3 linked regions of the Saccharomyces cerevisiae S288C genome follow. The protein of the gene in region 2 interacts with the protein of the main gene of each other region in a biochemical or structural test. Each region holds a gene or a part of one and is shown on either strand. Other genes may lie near its edges. The genes, in order: SPA2, AIP5 and BNR1.

Evidence for each region.
Region 1: the proteins of AIP5 (region 2) and SPA2 form a complex in vitro, tested with the Saccharomyces cerevisiae proteins (one study listed by BioGRID).
Region 3: the proteins of AIP5 (region 2) and BNR1 form a complex in vitro, tested with the Saccharomyces cerevisiae proteins (one study listed by BioGRID).

What each region holds. Positions count from the first base shown.
Region 1 is NC_001144.5:98,566-106,364, forward strand, and holds SPA2 (Spa2p), read left to right. Parts: upstream 1-2,381; coding exon 2,382-6,782; downstream 6,783-7,799. Other genes in the region: nucleoporin POM33, read right to left, coding at 1-271; HIF1 (Hif1p), read right to left, coding at 479-1,636; serine/threonine protein kinase KNS1, read right to left, coding at 7,121-7,799. UniProt on the Saccharomyces cerevisiae protein: Involved in pheromone-induced morphogenesis and efficient mating, perhaps as a cytoskeletal protein.
Region 2 is NC_001138.5:176,529-183,490, forward strand, and holds AIP5 (Aip5p), read right to left. Parts: upstream 4,216-6,962; coding exon 514-4,215; downstream 1-513. Other genes in the region: IGD1 (Igd1p), read right to left, coding at 5,746-6,333; YFR018C (uncharacterized protein), read right to left, coding at 6,603-6,962.
Region 3 is NC_001141.2:39,778-47,292, reverse strand, and holds BNR1 (formin BNR1), read right to left. Parts: upstream 5,469-7,515; coding exon 1,341-5,468; downstream 1-1,340. Other genes in the region: COA1 (Coa1p), read left to right, coding at 1-344; AIM20 (Aim20p), read right to left, coding at 478-1,092; POT1 (acetyl-CoA C-acyltransferase), read left to right, coding at 5,849-7,102; SMU2 (Smu2p), read right to left, coding at 7,153-7,515. UniProt on the Saccharomyces cerevisiae protein: May organize microtubules by mediating spindle positioning and movement in the budding process. Potential target of the RHO family members.

The sequences.
Region 1 (7,799 bases), on a different chromosome or scaffold from region 2:
CGGCATCTTGAGTCTGCAATGGTTCATTGCGGGTGAAAAATTGCTGGTAAATGATGATACCGAAAGATTCGATGACACCGAGATATGCCGATCTGTAATAAAATTCTGACATCTTGAGCAGGTAAAGAATGGAGCTGATCAATACGACGGAATGACCGGTAAACCATGCAAACTGCAAGCTCTTGGCTACTGCCATGAACCTTTGCACGAGCGACTTATCTCTGGCAGGGAGGTTTGGGGGGCCTTGGTTATTAGCGGGTCTTGATGACATTATACTGACTATTCTTGGCTAGTGTTTCTTGCTCCTTATGAATAGAGAAAAATGACTTTTTTTAGATGTAGTAAGTATGTCATTTCAGGGATGGTCTGCTTGCTCTTTAAATATTTTTTCACCCTTTTAAAATGGGGCCCTTTCGCCGTACCAAAGAAGGAGAAATATACATTACGTATGTAGGTTGCTACATTTTACACAAAACTATCAATGCCTTCTAGGCTTCTTCTTGACCAGTTGAGAGAGATCATTGAAGTCACCAAGGGGCTTTTCGAGGGCGGGGAAGCCGATGGAGGTCGTGGGCTGCGAAAGAGGCCTCTTGGAGCCGTGCTGCTGATTTTCTTGCACCTCATCAATATCGTCTTGAATCTGTGCGAGCCTTGCCTGCTGTAACTCGCTGTCCTTGGGTCTTGTAGTCATGTGTTTTTCAAGCAGAGCCTTGGCATGCTTGAATCTTTTTAGTTTGTCCTTAGCCGGCACCTGATCAACCCACCTTAAAGCATCACACACCAAAAATTCTGCTTGTATCACCTTCTCAGTTACTTGTTCTGCGGGTTTCAAGGTCTTGTAATAGCCAAGCGCCTTCAAGTAATGATGAATGGCTCTACTGAACATCTCCGCCTCCCTTTCGATGTCACCCATCAGGATATACACATCACCGATGCGCAATCTGCTGTTCTCGGTTAGAGATTGGCCATCTGCTGTAGGGCGGCCCAACAGCATCAAGGCCTGCGCCAGTAGGTCCAAAGCATTCTCATACAGATCATTTTCAAAGTAAATGTGGAAACCAGACTTGCGAAGTTGCGATACGTCTTCAATTTCATCGTCATGTTCATTCGCTGGACTGAAGTTAGCCAATTCGTGCAAAGCTAAGCGTTCTTCCTCTTTCTCCACGTTTTCTTCCTCTTCTTCGCTACCTTCGCCACTGTCCTCACTATCACCACTGTCGACATCACCAGTCAAGTCTTCCTCTTCTTGGTCGAATTGGAACATCCTAGAATTAGGAATTTCTGTTTGACCGTTCTCGTTCCCCTCTTCTCCATTGCTCACATCAGACTCAGGCTCAGACTCAGACTCAGACCCAGATCCATCGTCACCTGCCAGAAGAGCGTCCCCAAACAGATTACCAGAATTCTGTACTTCCATGTTGTATACAGCTTGTGCGAATATAGTAAACAGTTCAGGATCAGGCAACAAACCATCTTTTGGGAGAGAGTCCAAAGTTTGTTGGCAGCGTTTAGCAGCTTCTAAGAACTTTTTCTGTGCGAGTAAATCTTTTGCAATTTGAACCTGTCTTTCCATATCAATTTGAACTTTATGTCTGCTAGTTCCGTTTGCCAACACGTCTTCTGCCCTTAGTTTCATATTCTGTTACTTCTAGAAGGAGACCTCATCGCCGATGTTACCTCAAAATTGAGTAGAATGAAATAATACAAAATTGGAAAAAACGCGAAACTTCAGTGCAGTAACATATCGTTCCGACATTCTCTGAGAAGTGGTAAGATTCCACTGCCGGGGAGCTACGAGTGCTCTTGCAAGTTTTTAGACACTGCTATATCCTTCGACTACGTAACCCCATTTTTTTATTTTTCTATATAAAAACATGCACTGTATACATATAATCACGTAAGTTCAAGTCGTGCTTAAAACGGGCACAGAAAACTAACTATGAGTTGCCGTACCATACATAAACTAGGAGAAGGTAGCGCAGTTCTTTTTTTTTACCAAAGGTTTGCACAAAAAAGATGGTCTAACGTAAGTAAGTTATCAATAAAACTGTTAAAAGTAGTATAAGAATCTTGAGATAGGCTTATTATTATGACTTTTTATGGCGGAAAAGGAAGAAGAAATACTGCGCCGGGTGATGCGTGACGCGTTTTTGGAAACGATGAGAATAAACTTTGAAGTATTTTGAGAATAATATTCTATTATCGAGTTCTTTCAGCAGAAAGCAACACATAGCTACGTATAGTTCGGTAAGATAAATTTGGTCAGAAGCGTGTGAAAGACGCTGAGAAACCACGTGAGACGAAGATTCAAATCAAGGCGTGAGGAATAACGCAATACGAGCCACCGAAACAGAATAAACAAAAGAAAAGAAAGAGTAAACATGGGTACGTCAAGCGAGGTTTCTCTCGCACATCATAGAGATATCTTCCATTACTACGTCTCACTGAAGACTTTTTTCGAGGTGACTGGCGAAAATCGTGACAGGTCAAATTCGACACGAGCTCAAAAGGCCAGAGCCAAGCTGTTGAAGCTATCTTCTTCGCAATTTTACGAGCTGAGTACAGACGTGTCCGATGAGCTGCAGAGGAGAATCGGTGAAGATGCTAACCAACCAGATTACCTTTTGCCGAAGGCAAATTTCCACATGAAAAGGAACCAGGCTAGACAGAAACTGGCCAATCTATCACAAACTCGATTTAATGATTTGTTGGACGATATCCTTTTTGAGATCAAGAGAAGAGGGTTCGACAAGGATTTGGATGCTCCACGGCCCCCATTACCGCAGCCGATGAAACAAGAGGTCAGCAAAGACAGCGATGATACTGCAAGAACATCCACAAATTCTTCCTCTGTGACTCAAGTAGCTCCAAACGTCTCCGTACAACCTTCTTTGGTCATTCCTAAGATGGCATCTATCGATTGGTCTTCTGAGGAAGAAGAAGAGGAGCAAGTAAAGGAGAAGCCAAATGAACCGGAGGGAAAACAAACAAGCATGGATGAAAAGAAAGAGGCTAAACCTGCTCTAAACCCCATAGTTACAGATTCTGATCTGCCTGACTCCCAAGTGCTCGCTCGTGATATCACATCAATGGCAAGGACTCCAACAACGACGCATAAAAATTACTGGGACGTTAATGATTCTCCAATTATCAAGGTAGATAAAGATATCGATAACGAAAAGGGTCCCGAACAGTTGAAGAGCCCTGAAGTACAACGGGCTGAGAACAATAACCCTAACTCAGAGATGGAAGACAAGGTTAAAGAACTGACTGATTTAAACAGCGACTTACATTTGCAAATTGAAGATTTGAATGCTAAGTTAGCATCTTTAACCAGCGAGAAGGAAAAGGAGAAGAAGGAAGAGAAGGAGGAAAAAGAAAAGGAAAAGAACTTAAAGATTAACTACACCATTGATGAAAGTTTTCAGAAAGAATTGCTGTCATTAAACTCTCAAATCGGTGAATTATCAATTGAGAATGAAAATTTGAAGCAGAAAATTTCAGAATTCGAACTGCATCAAAAAAAGAATGACAACCATAATGATTTGAAAATCACTGACGGTTTTATTAGCAAGTACTCTTCTGCCGATGGGCTCATTCCAGCTCAATACATCTTAAACGCTAACAACTTGATAATTCAATTTACTACTAGGCTTTCCGCAGTACCCATAGGCGACTCCACGGCAATTTCCCATCAAATTGGCGAAGAGTTATTTCAAATATTATCCCAGTTATCGAACCTAATCTCCCAGCTATTACTATCGGCCGACCTATTACAGTACAAAGATCAGGTCATTTTACTGAAGGCATCATTATCGCATGCGATCACATCGATAAGATATTTCTCTGTTTACGGTCCCGTATTAATTCCGAAAATAACTGTGCAAGCTGCTGTTTCAGAGGTTTGTTTTGCCATGTGTAATCTAATTGATTCAGCGAAAATAAAATCCGATTCAAATGGTGAGAGCACCACCTCTAATGAAGGTAACCGACAGGTATTAGAATATTCTTCACCAACTGCTACCACCCCAATGACGCCAACTTTCCCCTCGACTTCTGGAATAAATATGAAGAAGGGGTTTATAAACCCAAGAAAACCAGCATCTTTCTTGAATGATGTGGAGGAAGAAGAATCTCCAGTCAAGCCATTGAAAATTACACAAAAGGCAATTAACAGTCCGATCATAAGACCGTCATCGTCTAATGGAGTTCCAACAACCTCAAGAAAACCTTCAGGAACGGGGCTATTTAGTTTAATGATTGATTCATCAATTGCTAAGAATAGCTCCCATAAAGAGGATAATGATAAATATGTCTCGCCCATAAAGGCAGTAACATCGGCCTCCAATTCTGCAAGTAGCAATATTTCCGAAATTCCTAAACTAACACTACCTCCACAAGCCAAAATCGGTACTGTTATTCCACCGTCAGAGAATCAAGTTCCCAATATTAAAATCGAGAATACAGAAGAGGATAATAAAAGGAGTGACATAACAAATGAAATCTCTGTTAAACCAACTTCTAGCATTGCTGATAAACTGAAACAATTTGAGCAAAGTTCCGAAAAGAAATCATCACCAAAGGAAAATCCTATAGCAAAAGAAGAAATGGATTCAAAACCAAAACTATCCAATAAATTTATCACTTCAATGAATGATGTGTCCACAGATGATTCAAGCTCTGATGGTAACGAAAATGACGATGCAGACGATGATGATGATTTTACCTATATGGCATTGAAACAAACAATGAAGAGAGAAGGTTCAAAAATTGAAAAAAATAATGACAGCAAACTACCTGCAAATATAGTGGAACTTGATTTACATGAGTCACCGGAGTCCGTGAAGATTGAATCTCCTGAATCGATAAAGGAAATCACGTCATCTGAAATGTCTTCAGAAATGCCAAGTAGTTCGCTGCCTAAGAGATTAGTAGAGGATGTTGAGCCTTCAGAAATGCCAGAGAAGGGCGCATCTGTAGAATCAGTCAGGAAGAAAAATTTTCAAGAACCACTTGGTAATGTCGAATCTCCGGATATGACGCAGAAGGTCAAGTCTTTGGGTATGACAGGAAAGGCTGTAGGCCCAGAATCAGATAGTAGGGTCGAATCTCCGGGCATGACAGGACAGATTAAATCTTTGAATATGGCAGGAAAAGTTGTAGGCCCAGAAGCAGATAGTAGGGTCGAATCTCCGGGCATGAAAGAGCAGATTAAGTCTTTGGGTATGACAGGAAAAATTACAGCTCAAGAATCAATCAAGTCCCCGGAAGCGGCTAGGAAGTTGGCGTCATCAGGAGAAGTTGACAAAATTGAATCTCCAAGAATGGTAAGGGAAAGCGAGTCCTTGGAGGCAGTAGGCAATACTATCCCCTCAAACATGACAGTGAAAATGGAATCCCCAAATTTAAAGGGAAATACTGTGTCTGAACCTCAAGAAATAAGGAGAGACATTGCCTCCTCAGAGCCGATAGAGAATGTTGACCCCCCAAAAGTACTAAAAAAGATTGTCTTTCCAAAGGCTGTTAATAGAACTGGATCACCAAAATCAGTCGAAAAGACTCCATCTTCAGCTACACTGAAAAAGAGCGGGCTCCCAGAACCGAATAGCCAAATTGTTTCTCCTGAATTGGCAAAAAATTCACCTCTAGCACCGATAAAGAAAAATGTCGAGTTACGAGAAACTAATAAACCACATACTGAGACTATCACTTCTGTGGAACCAACAAACAAGGATGCCAATACTTCTTGGAGAGACGCCGACTTAAACCGTACGATCAAACGAGAGGAGGAGGACGAAGATTTTGATAGAGTGAACCACAATATCCAGATCACTGGTGCATATACGAAAACTGGAAAAATTGATTATCATAAAATACCTGTTGATCGTAAAGCAAAAAGCGAAGCAGAAGTGCATACTTCCGAGGAAGATATTGATGAATCAAATAATGTTAATGGAAAAAGAGCTGATGCCCAAATACACATCACTGAAAGAAAGCATGCTTTCGTAAATCCAACTGAAAATTCACAGGTAAAAAAGACGAGCCACTCACCATTTTTAAACAGTAAACCGGTTCAATACGAGAACTCAGAGTCGAACGGCGGCATTAACAACCACATAAAGATAAAAAATACTGGAGAAACTACGGCACATGACGAGAAACATTATAGTGATGATGATGATTCTAGCTATCAATTTGTTCCCATGAAACATGAAGAACAAGAACAAGAACAAAACAGAAGTGAGGAAGAGGAAAGTGAAGATGACGATGAAGAGGAAGAAGACAGTGATTTTGATGTGGATACATTTGACATTGAAAATCCGGATAATACACTATCAGAGTTACTATTGTATTTAGAACATCAAACAATGGACGTCATATCCACGATTCAATCGCTTTTGACATCGATCAAGAAACCACAGGTGACGAAGGGTAATTTGAGGGGAGAATCGAATGCAATCAACCAAGTCATAGGTCAAATGGTGGACGCTACTAGCATATCAATGGAGCAAAGCAGAAATGCCAATTTGAAGAAACACGGTGATTGGGTGGTGCAAAGTCTAAGAGACTGTTCGCGTAGAATGACAATTTTGTGCCAATTAACTGGCGATGGAATACTAGCGAAGGAAAAGAGCGATCAAGATTATGCTGACAAAAACTTCAAACAGCGGTTGGCAGGGATTGCGTTTGATGTTGCCAAATGTACAAAGGAGCTGGTAAAAACTGTAGAAGAGGCAAGTTTGAAGGACGAAATAAATTATTTGAATTCGAAGTTGAAGTAAAGTTAGTAGTATCTAGAGGAGAAAGAAAAGGAAGACAAAGACAATCAATAGAATGTATTATGTATGACATATAATAATAATAATTATAATAATAATAATAATAGTAGTAGCAGTAATAATAATATTATTATAGTATATTAAAACAACAAAAAATTAGTAAAAATACTATAAATGTTTGAATATGAAGATATATATGTAGGAAGAATTTTTATTGAATATAGAAATTTAAAGAAATATTATTAAAAACCGGAAAATGAAAAAGAAGAGTTAAAAAAAAAAAAAACGGAACTAGTAAAAGATGTGAAAAAAAGAAGAGAAAAGTAGAACGAGAACACCCACTATCCTTGGGTATTATTATAAGTTGCAATACCATCATCCAGTATGCCCAGATTAAACCATTCATGGTCCAGAGCGTCCTTTGCGGTAATCCTTTTTGTTGGGTCGAACTCAAACATTTTCCTGAGTAGATCGATGAACCAGTACCAAAACAAGAAAGTTTCCTTATCGAGTTCATCAGTAGTTGAGGAAGAAGAGGAATGTGTTTGTCTTTTCCATGCCAATTTCGAATTTATCAAAGACCAGTTTTTCTCCGGCGGTAGATTCCAATTGATGCTTAAGCTATCGCCGTAATCCTGTTTCAAGACCTTTGAGATGTAAATATCTAAGCGATCACATGACTGCAAGACCCTTTTCATTGACTTTTCGGTGGTTATGGTATCTCCGCGTTTATTTTTTTCAGGCCATTGTAAGCTTAAAGTTTTTCTGTCGAAATGCTTTATCACCGTTGAATTTAGGTCTGATGGAGAGTTGCCCAATTTATGTTTAGATTTGTAAAACATCTTATCAATAATGTCTGTGGGGAAAGGGGTTCCATTGATTCGTTGCATCATAGCCATATGTTCTAGATTTTCATGAATGGGGTAAAGAGATTCGCCAATAACCAGTTCTACTAGGACACACGCGATGGACCAAATGTCGCAGGGGAACGACCAGCCCAAGCCAAGGACAATTTCCGGG
Region 2 (6,962 bases):
GTTGCGGGAAGAAAAGAAGGAGTTTATGTTTATATACACCGGTGTAGGCTGTGCGTTGGTGTGAACACTTCCTGTTGCTGTTGCTGTTGAAGCCGTCTCCGCATGCAACTGTAGTCATACAGCCTCTTGTCTGCCCTTATTCAATTGACCAGCTAACAATAGCTTCGCTTTCTTTCTGAAAAATCCTCCAAGGGGTATTACTTGTGGGGGGTTCCAGGAACCCATAGGCCGGGGCATGTTTCACGGGAAGTTCTGTGGCAGGAAATGGTCCCTGAGTAGCCGCGCAGGTGGCTTTTGCCTTTGCCGTACCGATCGGGAAATTGTGCCCCTGAAAGATTCCGTTTACGGCGCTTCTGTGCAACCTCTTTGGGCAAGCTTTGCTCCTGTCAATAGAGCAATTATTTGACAAGGTTTCTTTTACCTTGTTTTATGTGGGTTAAACGTGGGAGGAGAACTATAAATCACATGTGCTGTCAAGAGATTATGTTAGTTACGTAGCGCGCTTAAGCTTTCTTAAATAGTATCGTAAATGAGTTCCCGCAATTTGTAGTCTTCGTTAGCTTCTTCTATTTCTTCCCAGTTCCCGATTAAGTCATTGTGTCCTCTGACCACACCTGGAAGACTCCTACCCTTGCTGAAAGTCTTCCAAACTTTTCTCGCTTCATCATCTGTGCCAAGATCTCTGTAGGTGAACGGGATTCGGTTGGCCGTCAGGATTGTGCTTAAGCGATTTGTTCTGGGGATCATATGGAAACCGCCTCCGGCTAGTGACGTGTATATATATACAGGTTCCTTTTCATTCAGCTTCCGGATCTCGCTAGTCGTTATTACGTCTTGTGGCTTGTCATTGTTTTTCTTGGATTGCTCAGTAGTTTGAGTTGTGGAGTCTTTCGCATCTAGTGATTGGAGTAGAGCGTTTAGTTCAGAATCATCAACAATTTTTAGTTGCTCTAAAAACTCATTCGTTTCGTCCAAAATATCTTTGAAGATGTCATCTGCACTTGCTTTCTTGGGATTTTCCCTTGTACTTTGATCTTCAAATCCATTTTCGTCATTGTTTGGGGCTTCTTTACTGATTGACTCTGTTTCATTGAAGTCTAACTGGGATACCTCCTCTTCTTCTTGCTTAATTTCATTCTTTTCCTCCGTGATGTTTTCTTCCACTACAAGATCAGGAAGAGAAGTTTCTTTCTCTGTTTCTTCTACTTCCAATTCCTTGTCTTCTCCTTTATTATCCTTTATATCTTGTTTTTCCAATTCTGGCAATTCGACTGTCCTTTGAAATTCGTCTGAAATGTTGATATCGTCGATCTCTTGATCTCCGGTGACATCTTTGAGCGCCTCAGCAATCTTAGAATTTTCCATATTCTCGTCTTCTTTTGTCACGGCTTCCGCATCCTTTTTTGAAACTTCTGCCTCCGTACATGTTCCATCCTCTATTGGAGTCTCAGCAGGTTCCGAACATTTTGTTTCGATGTCTTCTTTTGAAGTTGCAGCAACTTCCACATCTTCATTTTCTTTATTCAGTTCAGCAGTGACTTCTGCCTCTTTTGGAGCGTCAAGATTTCCAAGCTCTGCCTTTACCTTGATAAATTCAGTTTTTTCGGAATTCTCCACTTCTGCATCTTCCTCGGTGTCAACTTCCACATCTTCATTTTCTTTATTCAGTTCAGCAGTGACTTCTGCCTCTTTTGGAGCGTCAAGATTTTCAAGCTCTGCCTTTACCTTGATAAATTCAGTTTTTTCGGAATTCTCCACTTCTGCATCTTCCTCGGTGTCCTTCTTGACAGATTCGCTGCTAGGTTCTATATATTTTTCGGCAGTTCCAACATCACTTGCTTTTGAATTTTCGCTCGCAGCCTCAGTAGCTTCACCATGTTCATGATTTGTATCTTTGCCGGTGATTTTATCGCCTTCTTGTGTAATTTCAAAGCGTTTGGGTTTTTCTTCTTCTTTGAAACTAGTAGTAGATCCTACATCTCCCATATCCTTTTGTGTAGTTTCAGCTTGTTCTGTTGAAATTTGAACGCGCTGGGATTTGGGATCTTCTTCTTCGGAATTCTCAATGGTTGTTGCAATTTCTGGCTTTACATCTTCATCGGGAACTCTAACATCTTCCTTTAGAACCTCAGGATCTCTTTCGTTGATTTGAAGATCTTCTGGTCTTCCGGAGGTACAACGCTTAACTACTTTTGGAGACTCAGGAGTCTTCGATTTCTCAACCTCTACACCTTCTGCACTTTCTCTTGCTGTTTCATCAACCTCTTTTTTTGCTTTCTCGTTGGAAAGCTCAGCAGTCCCCTCTTGCTTCTTTTTCATGTCTTCACTGATAGACTCAGCACCTCTCATTGCTATTTTATCATCTTTCATGGCCTTAACAGGTTCATCCAGCTTGACTTGTTCCCCTTCTTGATCTTCTTTGGCAACCTCGAGATCTTCAGGTATTATATTTTTTTCCACAGCCTCAACAATCTCTACATCATCCCTAGGCGCGTCAGGTATATCGATTTCTCCGACAACTTCCGTAGGCTTGTTTTCCTGAGTAGGTGCTTCAGCTTCATCTTCAAGAACAAGGTTATCTTTAGAAATTTTTGCAGAGTTTGCGCTTCCCTCTATTTCAATAATGGAAGATTTTTCTCCCGCTTCTGACTGCTTTTCATCTCCCCCCATAATTTCCTCTCCTTTTGATGTAGATTCTTCTTCGGTACCGGACACTTCATTATTTCTTACAGCTTCTTGCTCCCCGGTTACATTTTCTTTTTTAACTTTTGAAAAAGTCGAATTTTCTTCTTCTTCTTCTTCTTCTTCTTCTTCTTTTTCAACTTCTACAGATATATCGTTAGTACCGTGTTGTAGATTTTTTTCATTGTCACTAATGCGCTTTGTTGGTCCCATCGTTTCGTCATCATAAGTCTCTCGCTCAGTTTCTGGAGGGATGATACTATCACTACCAGCTGCGTTAAAATTATGGCTCATGTTATTCTCATGATTAACAGATAATTCTTTCCTACATTTTTCGTCTTCTTTATCCTTCTGTTCAAAAACATGGTCTTCTTTCCCGATTTCTGTTTCTTTCTGATTTTTTGCAAGAACTGAAGGACTTATTCCGTCTCTATCACTTTCAGTCTGCTGCTTTTCCCCAGCTTTCAAATGTTTTGATTCGTTCTCTTTGAAATTAAACCCATTCTTAGTTAAACTTTCACTTTCAACATCCTTAGTAGACGCTTGCCCATTTTCATCACCTGCCTCCAAACCGTGCGGCTCTAGTTGGTGTTTAAAAGAAGCTGCATTTCCCTCATTAACATTTAAGATCTCATTCTCTTCTCGAGGTAAGGTATGTTCTGCCTTTTCCTCGTTGATATTGTTCTCGGACTTTGAGGAAGTTTCGTCAACATTATCTTTGTTAGGCACATCTATGTCGAAGGTTTTGTCACTAGATTCATTTCTGGTTCTGATATCCATTTTTTCGACATTAACAGGCTCATCTTGGACAATATTTACTTTGATATCCTCGTTCTTTGAACCATCTTCCTGTAGGTACTCTTCAATGCCTACTAGTATGGAATCTAAAGTTGACTGTTTTGACAAATCAGTAGTATCTGCAGGATTTGAAGAATTACGACCTCTTCTATTCGTGGTTTTTTTCTTTTTGTTTTTTTTTCTTCTCGTAATTGGGCTATTGCCAACCTCAATTCCTGTGGATTCTTTGATTGGTGGTACATTTTCTGTGCCTTCCGCTACATTGTTAGTAGAAGTTTCTTTGATAACTACATTGACGTCTATTGGGATCTGTGTGGGAGATTCTGTAGCGTCATTTATTGTATCTGTGGCTATCTCTATTACGTCGTCTTTTCTTTCCAAATCATGAGAGATTGCATCCCGTGTGGAAGCTTCCTCGGTTTCACCAACAGAACTGGAAAGTTTTACAATAGTATCTCTGTCACGATTCGCCTTTATTTGTCCCTGGTTTTTCTTTTTATGACCTTTCAATTTAGAAGATTTCCTTTGAGATGATAATTCCTGTGCAAAATTCTCAGTGGCATTTATCGCTTCATCTAAGTCACTTTCTGTAAGTTGATCTCGACTTTCTATAATATCATTCGTACTTGGTAAGGGAAGATCTGTAGCAAGTGTCGAATACGAATCTCCAGCACTAGTTACCGATGGGGGTTGAACATTGTGTTCCTGATTTTCTACAGTCAAAGATTCTACCATGTCACTCTTTATTTAATCCAGAGTAATCAAGCACACCAGTACAATAATTGCTAACAGGTTTAAAAAGAGAAAGTGTTCTGGAATAAAACCACTTGCTTATATGCGAAGTGACTACGAAATATTAAGGGAAAATATACGACAATTTCGTGTTCAGAAACTTAACAAATATTTTCATCTTGTCTGTTATATTCTCGGAAGCTTTAGGATAAATTTATCCTTAAAAAAAGGACTGCGCAAGCCCGGAATCGAACCGGGGGCCCAACGATGGCAACGTTGGATTTTACCACTAAACCACTTGCGCTTATTTCTTGGAAGTGTTCGTGTTCTAATAAGGTCACAACAGCTCCAACATTAACCAGAAATACCTGTAAATAGCCCCGCCACGAGGCAACAATTGTCTCTGTATTCTTATCTTTCTCAATAAGCACTTATTAGTTAGTTTACATCCGAGTTCTTGAGCACTCCCCACCTTTTTAGTAGGTCTGAAGTCTTGTTTACAACAGCGGGCACCTCAAGATTGAAAGGAGTTGAGAGTTAGAATATATAATTTTGAAATTAAATTTGAAAATGATGCGATTACCACCGGCAAGTATTCAAAACAAAATAAGACGAGGGAGCTTCATAAAAATTAGGTCGTATATGTTGAAATGAGAGGATTTAGTACATTCTGTATTCATCATATTATAGCCTTTACCAACAATGAAACTCCAGTAATTATCAAATTATTCTCCCAATTCTCACCGAACATGCGGCAACGTTAGGTACGGATCGCGGAAAACACTTTATTTTGTGCAGAGGTACTGTCATGAATACTATGTCAATAAAAAAAGTATCGCATTATCACCACGCCTATATAACATAATCTAAACTATTCGTGAGGGTACAGAAATCCATTGAAATGAATTGATAGTTCTACACGATATCGCTGTCATTTTATTGTACGTTTCAAGTTTTACTAAATAAAAATGACATCTGAAACAGATTAAGTTTTTTTGTAACTTGTGCCCGTTGAAATAGGAATTAACTGTTATAATTGACAATATTCATGTCAACACTATATAGTAATATATAATAAAGAAGGTAACTTAAATGGCGATAGGCGGTCAACAAGTCTAGGGAATCAGAAATGCAAGAATGAATAACGTAATAGGATAGCGAAGGAACATATCAAAAACAAGGGAAAAAAAAATTGGTTCTATATCTAGATATATCTAGAATTTTTGGACTGGTTTTATCTCAATTTCCACCTATCTTTATGTATTATCTTTCGACCGTCTTATCTTTTAATATGGTGGCAGGAATACCAGTCAGACAATGATTGGATCTTGTCTCGGGTTGTTTGTTATCACGTAAGCACCACAGTCCGCTCCGTAGGAAAAGAAAAATAGCCGCCGAGCCACGGGAGCAAATGAGTGAAGAATATGCGCAACGTTTTGGTACATATACAAAAAAATGTAGAAAAGAAGCTAAAGAGATTGACGTTACGTACATATGTATGAGTGGGTAGGTGTGGACGACACTAGGGAGGCTTTACTTCTCTCCAAACATGTGAAGCTGGTTATAGATGTCCTTCTTAAAGTCCTCGTACTTAAAAGACGACTTTCTACGCGTGCCCAACTGTGGAGGAGAGCCGTGTGGGACTCTTGCGCTGTTACCATTGCTGTTGTTGTCAAGGTACGAGTTTTTGAAAATGGGTCTGTTGCCAGCACGAGAACAGATCGGTGTATGGGAGATGGAGTCACCCATATCCACGCCAGCGTGGCTCAGGTCAGAGTCGTTAGTGGTCCTGTATTGCATATTGTGGATAGTATTCTGGAAATCCATGGGTCCGCTACTCCTACGTTCGGCTCCCGGGGCGTGCTCCCCGATACTGCTTTCGCGTTCCCGGGCTTGTTCCCTGGAATTTAGTGCGTCCATATAATTGGTAGACCGCCGTCTAATCATGGGGACTGGCTTGTCTACGCTTTGAGCGGGAGCGCTTGGACCCGGGAGGTTGAATGTAGAAACACTAGGTGTTTCCTGTGCACAGGGCGGTTCGTCGATGTTGAGGAAGTCCTGTGATCTTTCAAATGTGGGTGACGTGCTCACTTGGGGCGTGTTCAAGTGGGGATCTGTCATGAGGGTGAGTGTATGCGTGTGTGTGTGTGTTGCGTAGATGTGTGATTTACTATGTGTTATGTAGCTGCTCTCATCGCTGCTGATAGTAGATCTCTCGCGCAAAAATTACTCAGGCAAACCTTTACTATACCTACATATATATATATATATATGTATATGTATGTGTGCAAGCTTTTCAGAGTGGTGCACTGACATTGACCGGGCCACTCATTCCACCCCACATCCCCCAGATCAGGGGGAGATGTTAACGAAAGGAAACAGGGGATTTATCACTGGTTACGGGAGCGTAGTGACTGTACTACAAATTCGCACACAAGCAGCGCCCAGTGACGAGTCTCCGCGGCGTCTAAGTGCCGGAAGTCATCATCCACGGTGTGCCATGTACTTGGGAATGGTAGCGGGATTGCATGTAATACGGGTACTCCGGCGGCCAGGAATGGCGTGTGGTCGTCTCCGATGACCGAATGCCCGAGCCCTAAAAATCGATAGTCCGTGGGGTCCAGATGTTTGCGTTGACGCGCGACTTCGGCGGCTAATGCCGATTCGCCGTTGATTTCATCTCCACGTCGAAATAACAAGTCATCCTCTATTCGATTGAGCAGCTGATATTCTTGATGTGTCTCTGCATA
Region 3 (7,515 bases), on a different chromosome or scaffold from region 2:
TTGGGTCCGCACTATCTTTGATCTTCAACTATGAAAAGACGGAGTCCCCCATTATCTCCAACACGCTGTATTATATAAGACGGTCTCCAGCAACTAAAAACATACTGGGTGAGAGCATAGAATTTGATGGTATCATCCCTTGGGTCTACGGTGAACTGAACTCTGTGAAGGGTAGGATTAACATTACGTTTTATATCAAGGGGGACAAAAACGTTACTGGAACCGTTAGACTGGTTGCCGATAGGAACACTCACGACGAAGAGTTTTTGATTCATGAATGGAGCGTCACTGCCGCTGGCCAAAAGATCGATTTGCTAGCTGAAAATACCAAGACACCAATTTAATAGCAAGTATGGTGCTATTTGTCTGTAAATATCCTTTATTATTATTTTATTTTTATCGTTATTACAAGTGGTCTGGGTATCTATACAAATGCAAAACTATGTAGGTACGTTTATATATCTATATGCATATATATTAGTGTGGCCGTAAGCTGTCAATAAATTCTCTCTTGTTGACAGTATAATTCGTAAAATCGTTTTCATATGGGTCATCCAGTTTTATTTCTTCGTGTAACGCAGTATTTTCTGTGCTCGATGACAAGTTTGACGTAGAAGCTGATCTCAAACTACTCGTTTCTTTGCGCGATAGCGTCAGTGGATACATAAAACTATAGGAAGGATCTCTGACCATCCCATAATTCACCTTTTCGCCGCTGAAAATGACGGGGACATTGGTATATGCAGTGCTCTGCTTTTTTGGACGCAAAGTCCCCATACTAGCGTTCAATTGCCTTCTGTATGCTGGTGTGTACCCTGCCTTGGCGGTTTTTTCTTGGCAGGGTTTAAGATCCTGGTTTGCTTCCTTTTCGTTTATCGTGGAAGCTTCACTTGAGCTGTTAATTTCGGCTTTAAAACCATCATATACCGACACTGCCACTTCTTCCATTACCATCTTCTCCAAATCAGCATCTCTAATCTCTTCTTTTTTGTAACGTCGTTGTAATTTACACCAAAATATCAGGGCTATTATTACGCCCACAGCAATTGGAATCCCAACTGCCGTTCCCACTGCCACAGACACATTGCCCATCTTTATTCAATAGTCTGTTTTGATGATTGAAAAGTAGATTGTTTTGAGCTAAAAATTCGATGCTTTCTGTGCTTATTTTGAAATTTATTAATGAATCTGTCCATCTCCAAATCTTAGTTCTTAACTAGGAAATTTGTCAACACGACCACCGCCCGAAAAGGGAAAATATTTCCCTTTTGAGAAGCGATTGCGAATATTGTCCATTTCTTTATATAAGCTCCACAACTACATAAAATACTAAGTCTTCACTATATATTTTGAATATCGTTCAGCATAGCATGCGTTCTCTCTAGTAAAACGTGATCTTCATCCTTTCTCGTTTTTACATCTCCTTCATGTACGTTAATGGCTATTTCATTGAGTTTTGTACTCTTTCTTCTTCTTAGAGGTTCTGGATCCTTCTTTACTTCGCGTAATTTAGATATGAGTAGATCAACAGCATCCCTGTTTACTTTTTCACCATCGTTTTCATCACTTCCATTGCTTTTCTTATTACTGCTTGTCCTCATATCTAACAAGCTCTTCCTTTGTTCGTACACTCTTTCCATTTCCTCCTTTTCAATGTTTTCCTTGGCACATTTCTTAAACATGGCTAAAAATTCAATAAAGGGTTGGAAAAATTCGTTTTTACTCTCTTTATCTTTGGGATCTTCACCGTAATATTTCATCAGTTTATTCAAATCTATTAAAGTTAATTTACATTGACCAATCAATAATTCACTTTTTGTTTTGGCCCGATTAATCTTAAACTTGACCTTTTTAATAATTTGATCTCTGGGGTCTAAGTTCTCCTCTTTGGATAGCTTTCCTACTTGAAACTGAGTAACTAAATCCTCAATTTTTTTATGAAATTCATGACACTCTGATTCAACGTGTTCTAGTGAGATTTTACCTAAATCTTCAATGTTCTTCAAATCATCCACAAAACCGTATATATCAGGATATTTTATTCTTATGACTTTTTCAATAAAATGCAAAAATGATACATTTTGATCAATACTGGATCTGACAAAGGCAAGTTTAGTCAATGACTTCAATTTGATACCCTTAACAATTCTTTTATTCATATGATTGCCTATTTCCGTGATAATAAACATCAAACTTTTAAATTTAGGTGAACGATTTAAGTGTGAAATTGCATCATCAATTTTTTGTAACTTGAAAATCAAATCGTAATAATCTCTCTCGTATGTTGACAATGTCAGCAGACTCTTTGATCTTGCATTCCAATAAAATCTTAAATTGATACACAACTCCAAAAATATTCTGTCAGCTCTTTGTAAGTCACTTACTGCTTTACCATCCTTACCCTGTGAATATGGCTCGTACTTATTAAGCATACTTTTTGGTATATTTACTAACTCTTCTTTACAAAAAAATTTCAGTATGTTAACATTTTGGACAATGTCGTTATCACAGTTCAATACTTTCATAACAAATTCCATATCAGATAATTGGGAAAACATGTGTAAATTAATACCAAATTGCTGAGCCAAATCTCTTGATAAGAATGAAATTTTCTTCAGCTCATTGGAAGACTTGCCATTGTTTGAAGACAAGGCAATTGAGGATTCTGCGTTCCTTTTATTTGCAATCTTAGTCGGACTTTTCATCTTAAAAATATCTTCAATCTGAGAGAATATACCATCAGTTTGTAATTCTTTGATTGTTTCTTGGCGTTGAAACGTGTCTTCCCAAAGTGTGTCTTTGATATCCTCCACCTTATCCCAGTGGATTTGCTTCAATCGCTTTTCAGTTGGAGGTGGTTTTAAATCGGTTGTCGTTGGATTGATAGACACTGAGGAGGAAGAAAGAAGACCATTTGGTAAAGGTGGAGCTGGAGGAGTAACTAAATCGTGATTGGAGGGGCCTTTGTTCATCGACAAGGACTCGGGTAAAGGCGGTGGCGGTGGTGGTGGTGGAACGGCGCCACAAGTTTTAGTTTTAAATAGATCTGGAAGGGGTGGCGGTGCAGGTGCTGCAATACAGGAAACACCATCCGGTTTAGCTTCTGCTTCAGTCAAAAGAGACTGTGGAAGTGGAGGAGGGGGAGGTGGAGGAGGGGGCGGTGGAAGTTGAGGTAGTTTAACAACTTCAGGTACTAGTTGGATTCCATTATCAAGACTATCTGAGGAAAGTCGAGGGAAAAGTTTTGGTGAAGAAGAAACCGAAGACAACACGGGAGACGATTGGTAATTAGGTTGTGTTCCTAGGCTATTTGAAAATTCCAACTCTGAAAGTATCGAATTTAGAGAGACATTTTGCATATTAGTAATATTTTTCATAGAAGGGATATTAAAATTAATGGTTGACGTAGATCTTTGAAATAATGAGTCTTTTGATTTATCTTCGGATTCATTTTGGGACTCATTTTCGTTATTTGCATCAGTTAAATATGATGAAAGGGACGTAACTCTTTTACTTTTTAGTAGACTAGTTGAACGCTTGGGCAGAGAAATTTTTTGCTGCTGCTGTTGCTTTTTTGCTAAATTTTGGAAAATGATATTTCCATGACTATTATTTTTTATTATCGAGCCGGCAATACTCAAGTTGCTACTTGCCAATGAAGGTGGCTGGTCATATAACCTTTGATGCGTGGTAATTTGGTCTAGTCTTTTCTTGGTTGCCTTCAACTGCAGTTTCAGATTTTCAATTTCCTTGGTTTTCAGAGATATCAAAGATTCACTTTCATCTAGTTTTGCTATTAAATGATCTTTATCATGATTTTCTACTAAATTTAATTTTTCATTCAAATGAGAAATCTTAGCATTAAGATCATCAATTTCTGTGACCGCTCTTCTAGCAATTTCATCAGATTGTAGAGAATCCAACAATTTATTAACAGAATCTTGAAAAACATAATCCACATTTTCTGCGGACTCCAAGGTTTCATCAAAAGAAGGATTCGTTGACACTTGAAAGGAATCTATGAGATAAAACAGCAAAGAATTTATCAATTTTAATAGTTTAATAGATTCTGAGTATGGTTTTTGAGAGTCTAAGATTTTCCACAGCGATTGAATAATCTCGTTTATTGGTGCCTCTACGGGACTATCTTTTGCCTTCAATAACAGGCAATTTTCAAGACATAGAGGCTCGCTTTCTATTCTTGCGATATCTTTTGTTGGGTGAAGCGAATTCGTATCGTTGGTAGTTTTTATCATCGAGTCAAATATCGCAGATTCTTTGGATTTGAATTGTTTTATTTGTTCCATGATCACGACACTATTAGGATCATCTTTATAGGCCAGTTCTAAAAATGTGATAGTGTTATGTATATTATTCTTTTTCAAAAAATTCAAAATTTCTAGTGCAGTCTTGTTGTTGAAACCTTGCAGTATGGAGTTTATTAGCAGTAGGAAAGTTGTCGAATAGTCTATTTTTAATTGGTTCCAGTTCAAATAAAGGGATGAATGAATTGCAATATCATCCGCAAGGATTTTGTCAAACCATTCTAGCCAATCGGTGAATAATATGGAAAGCTGGTCCCATATCAACTCACAACCCGTGGAACCCTCAACATACGTTAATAATAAAAGTAACTCCATAGAAAGTAACTGACATTTCAAATTAGAATTTTGATCCGTCAGAAGCTCGGTGAACCAGCGAATTAAAGGCTCAGAATGTAGTGCTCTTATTCTCGCCAGTGGGTTGTTCATCAGTATTTTAAAGCACCGAAGATAAACAAATTGTAATTCCTTGGATATGAGTGGCAAAGTCTTTTCGATCAATGTCGTCAAGTAAATTTCATCCTTGAGAAAAAGTTGCAAAAAGCTTTGCTTTCGCAGGAATTTTTCTAGTTTATATAGAGCCTTCGATAACTTCATGCCACCTGTTGAAAGGTTTCTAACTAGGCCATCCAAAAAGTGTGCGTTTTCAGCTAGTTCATTAGTGGCCAAATGTGTAGAGTATGTCGTGCTCGAAGTCACTTTCTTTTTCCCCCAATGATTGGAACTACGGATTTTACATATCAATAACCATTTCCTTCGTAGAGAGATGTTTTGTAAATTCTTATAAGCAGCCCCCCAAAAAAAAGTTCCATCTTTTAAAAGCTCATCAAACATTCTTTCGACGAGTGATGCGTCCTGAGGCATGCACTTCGGATTAAAATCCATTTCCGATCCGTTCACTTCTTCGGAAACCATTGGTGACGAAGAAACGTCATTAGCTGAGAAATTCTTCTGTTTCATGTATATATGTGATCCTGTACCTTGTTTCTCTAACGCTACACCGACCAACTGCAAGCCAGCGGCAACCAGCCCATCGTTCAAATTCAATTCTTCCAATTTACGGGCTTCGCTGACCCTATCACGCGCGTGAAGTGACAGCGATCTGCGAGGGTAGCGGTACGTCTTCTTGTTCGGGGAAGAGTCCATCGCTGATGATTGTGCTATTTTTTTATCTGCTTTTGTGTCACGATCATCATCACTATGTAATCTTCAAAAGATCAAGAATTTGCTAGTTTTGAACCTATGCCACAAATAGCGAAAAAAGAAAAAAAACTTGACGCGTCAACATGAGGAGGGTAATGATGTGGTAGCGCCGTGTAAGGCGCTATCAAAGGGAAACGGGGATAATAGTATTAACACCGCAGCTTTTTTTTCCTTTCTCCCTCTATTGGTTTCAAATTTATTGGAGTTTTACTAGAAAGAAGAGATATAAATAGGGTATACTTTTGCATCTCAGTTCTATTGAAATCGAATGGTTATTTCTTGTGGCTCTGAGTACAGAGTGAATATAACACTACATAAAAGCAATGTCTCAAAGACTACAAAGTATCAAGGATCATTTGGTGGAGAGCGCCATGGGTAAGGGTGAATCGAAGAGGAAGAACTCGTTGCTGGAGAAAAGACCCGAAGATGTAGTTATTGTGGCTGCTAACAGGTCTGCCATCGGTAAAGGTTTTAAAGGTGCCTTCAAAGATGTAAACACAGACTACTTATTATACAACTTTCTCAATGAGTTCATCGGGAGGTTTCCGGAACCTTTGAGGGCTGATTTGAACTTAATCGAAGAAGTTGCCTGTGGAAATGTTCTCAATGTTGGAGCCGGTGCTACAGAACACAGGGCTGCATGCTTGGCAAGTGGGATTCCCTACTCGACGCCATTTGTCGCTTTAAACAGACAATGTTCTTCAGGTTTAACGGCGGTGAACGATATTGCCAACAAGATTAAGGTTGGGCAAATTGATATTGGTTTGGCGCTGGGAGTGGAATCAATGACCAATAACTACAAAAACGTCAATCCCTTGGGCATGATCTCCTCTGAAGAGCTGCAAAAAAACCGAGAAGCGAAGAAATGTCTAATACCAATGGGCATTACTAATGAGAATGTTGCCGCTAATTTCAAGATCAGTAGAAAGGATCAAGACGAGTTCGCTGCGAATTCATATCAAAAAGCTTACAAGGCGAAAAATGAGGGGCTTTTCGAAGATGAAATTTTACCTATAAAATTACCAGATGGCTCAATTTGCCAGTCGGACGAAGGGCCACGCCCTAACGTCACTGCGGAGTCGCTTTCAAGCATCAGGCCTGCCTTTATCAAAGACAGAGGAACCACAACTGCGGGCAATGCATCCCAGGTCTCCGATGGTGTGGCAGGTGTCTTGTTAGCCCGCAGGTCCGTAGCCAACCAGTTAAATCTGCCTGTGCTAGGTCGCTACATCGATTTTCAAACAGTGGGGGTTCCCCCTGAAATCATGGGTGTGGGCCCTGCATACGCCATACCAAAAGTCCTGGAAGCTACTGGCTTGCAAGTCCAAGATATCGATATTTTTGAAATAAATGAAGCATTCGCGGCCCAAGCATTATACTGCATCCATAAACTGGGCATCGATTTGAATAAAGTAAATCCAAGAGGTGGTGCAATCGCGTTAGGCCATCCCTTGGGTTGTACTGGCGCAAGGCAAGTAGCTACCATACTAAGAGAACTGAAAAAGGATCAAATCGGGGTTGTTAGTATGTGTATCGGTACTGGTATGGGTGCCGCCGCCATCTTTATTAAAGAATAGTTTTAATACTTGATAATAGTTAATATTCTCCCTTTTTATTATGCTCATATTTATATGGTTTTGTAAAAGCTATTACGTAGTTTATCAATTTGTTTATAATTTTCCATTTTCAATATTTCTAACTCACTAACCAAATAGTTTATTTGAGATAATATCCTCCAGTCCTCCTTAACCAATTGACGGGCTTTCCAGTTGAAATTCGCTATCACGGTGTCCATGTAAGAGGAAACTTCTTCATTACTTTTCATCGTTAGTTTTATTGGGGCCTTTGGATAATCCAAAGGTATGTTGAATAAAATTTTCAAAGAAATCTTACCGGAGTCTGTCATGGGGGAGATTCGATAGCCATATGAGGTAACGTGCTTACCCTTTTTAAACAGTTTAAAATCGGATAAGGTGTGAATGCATTGTTC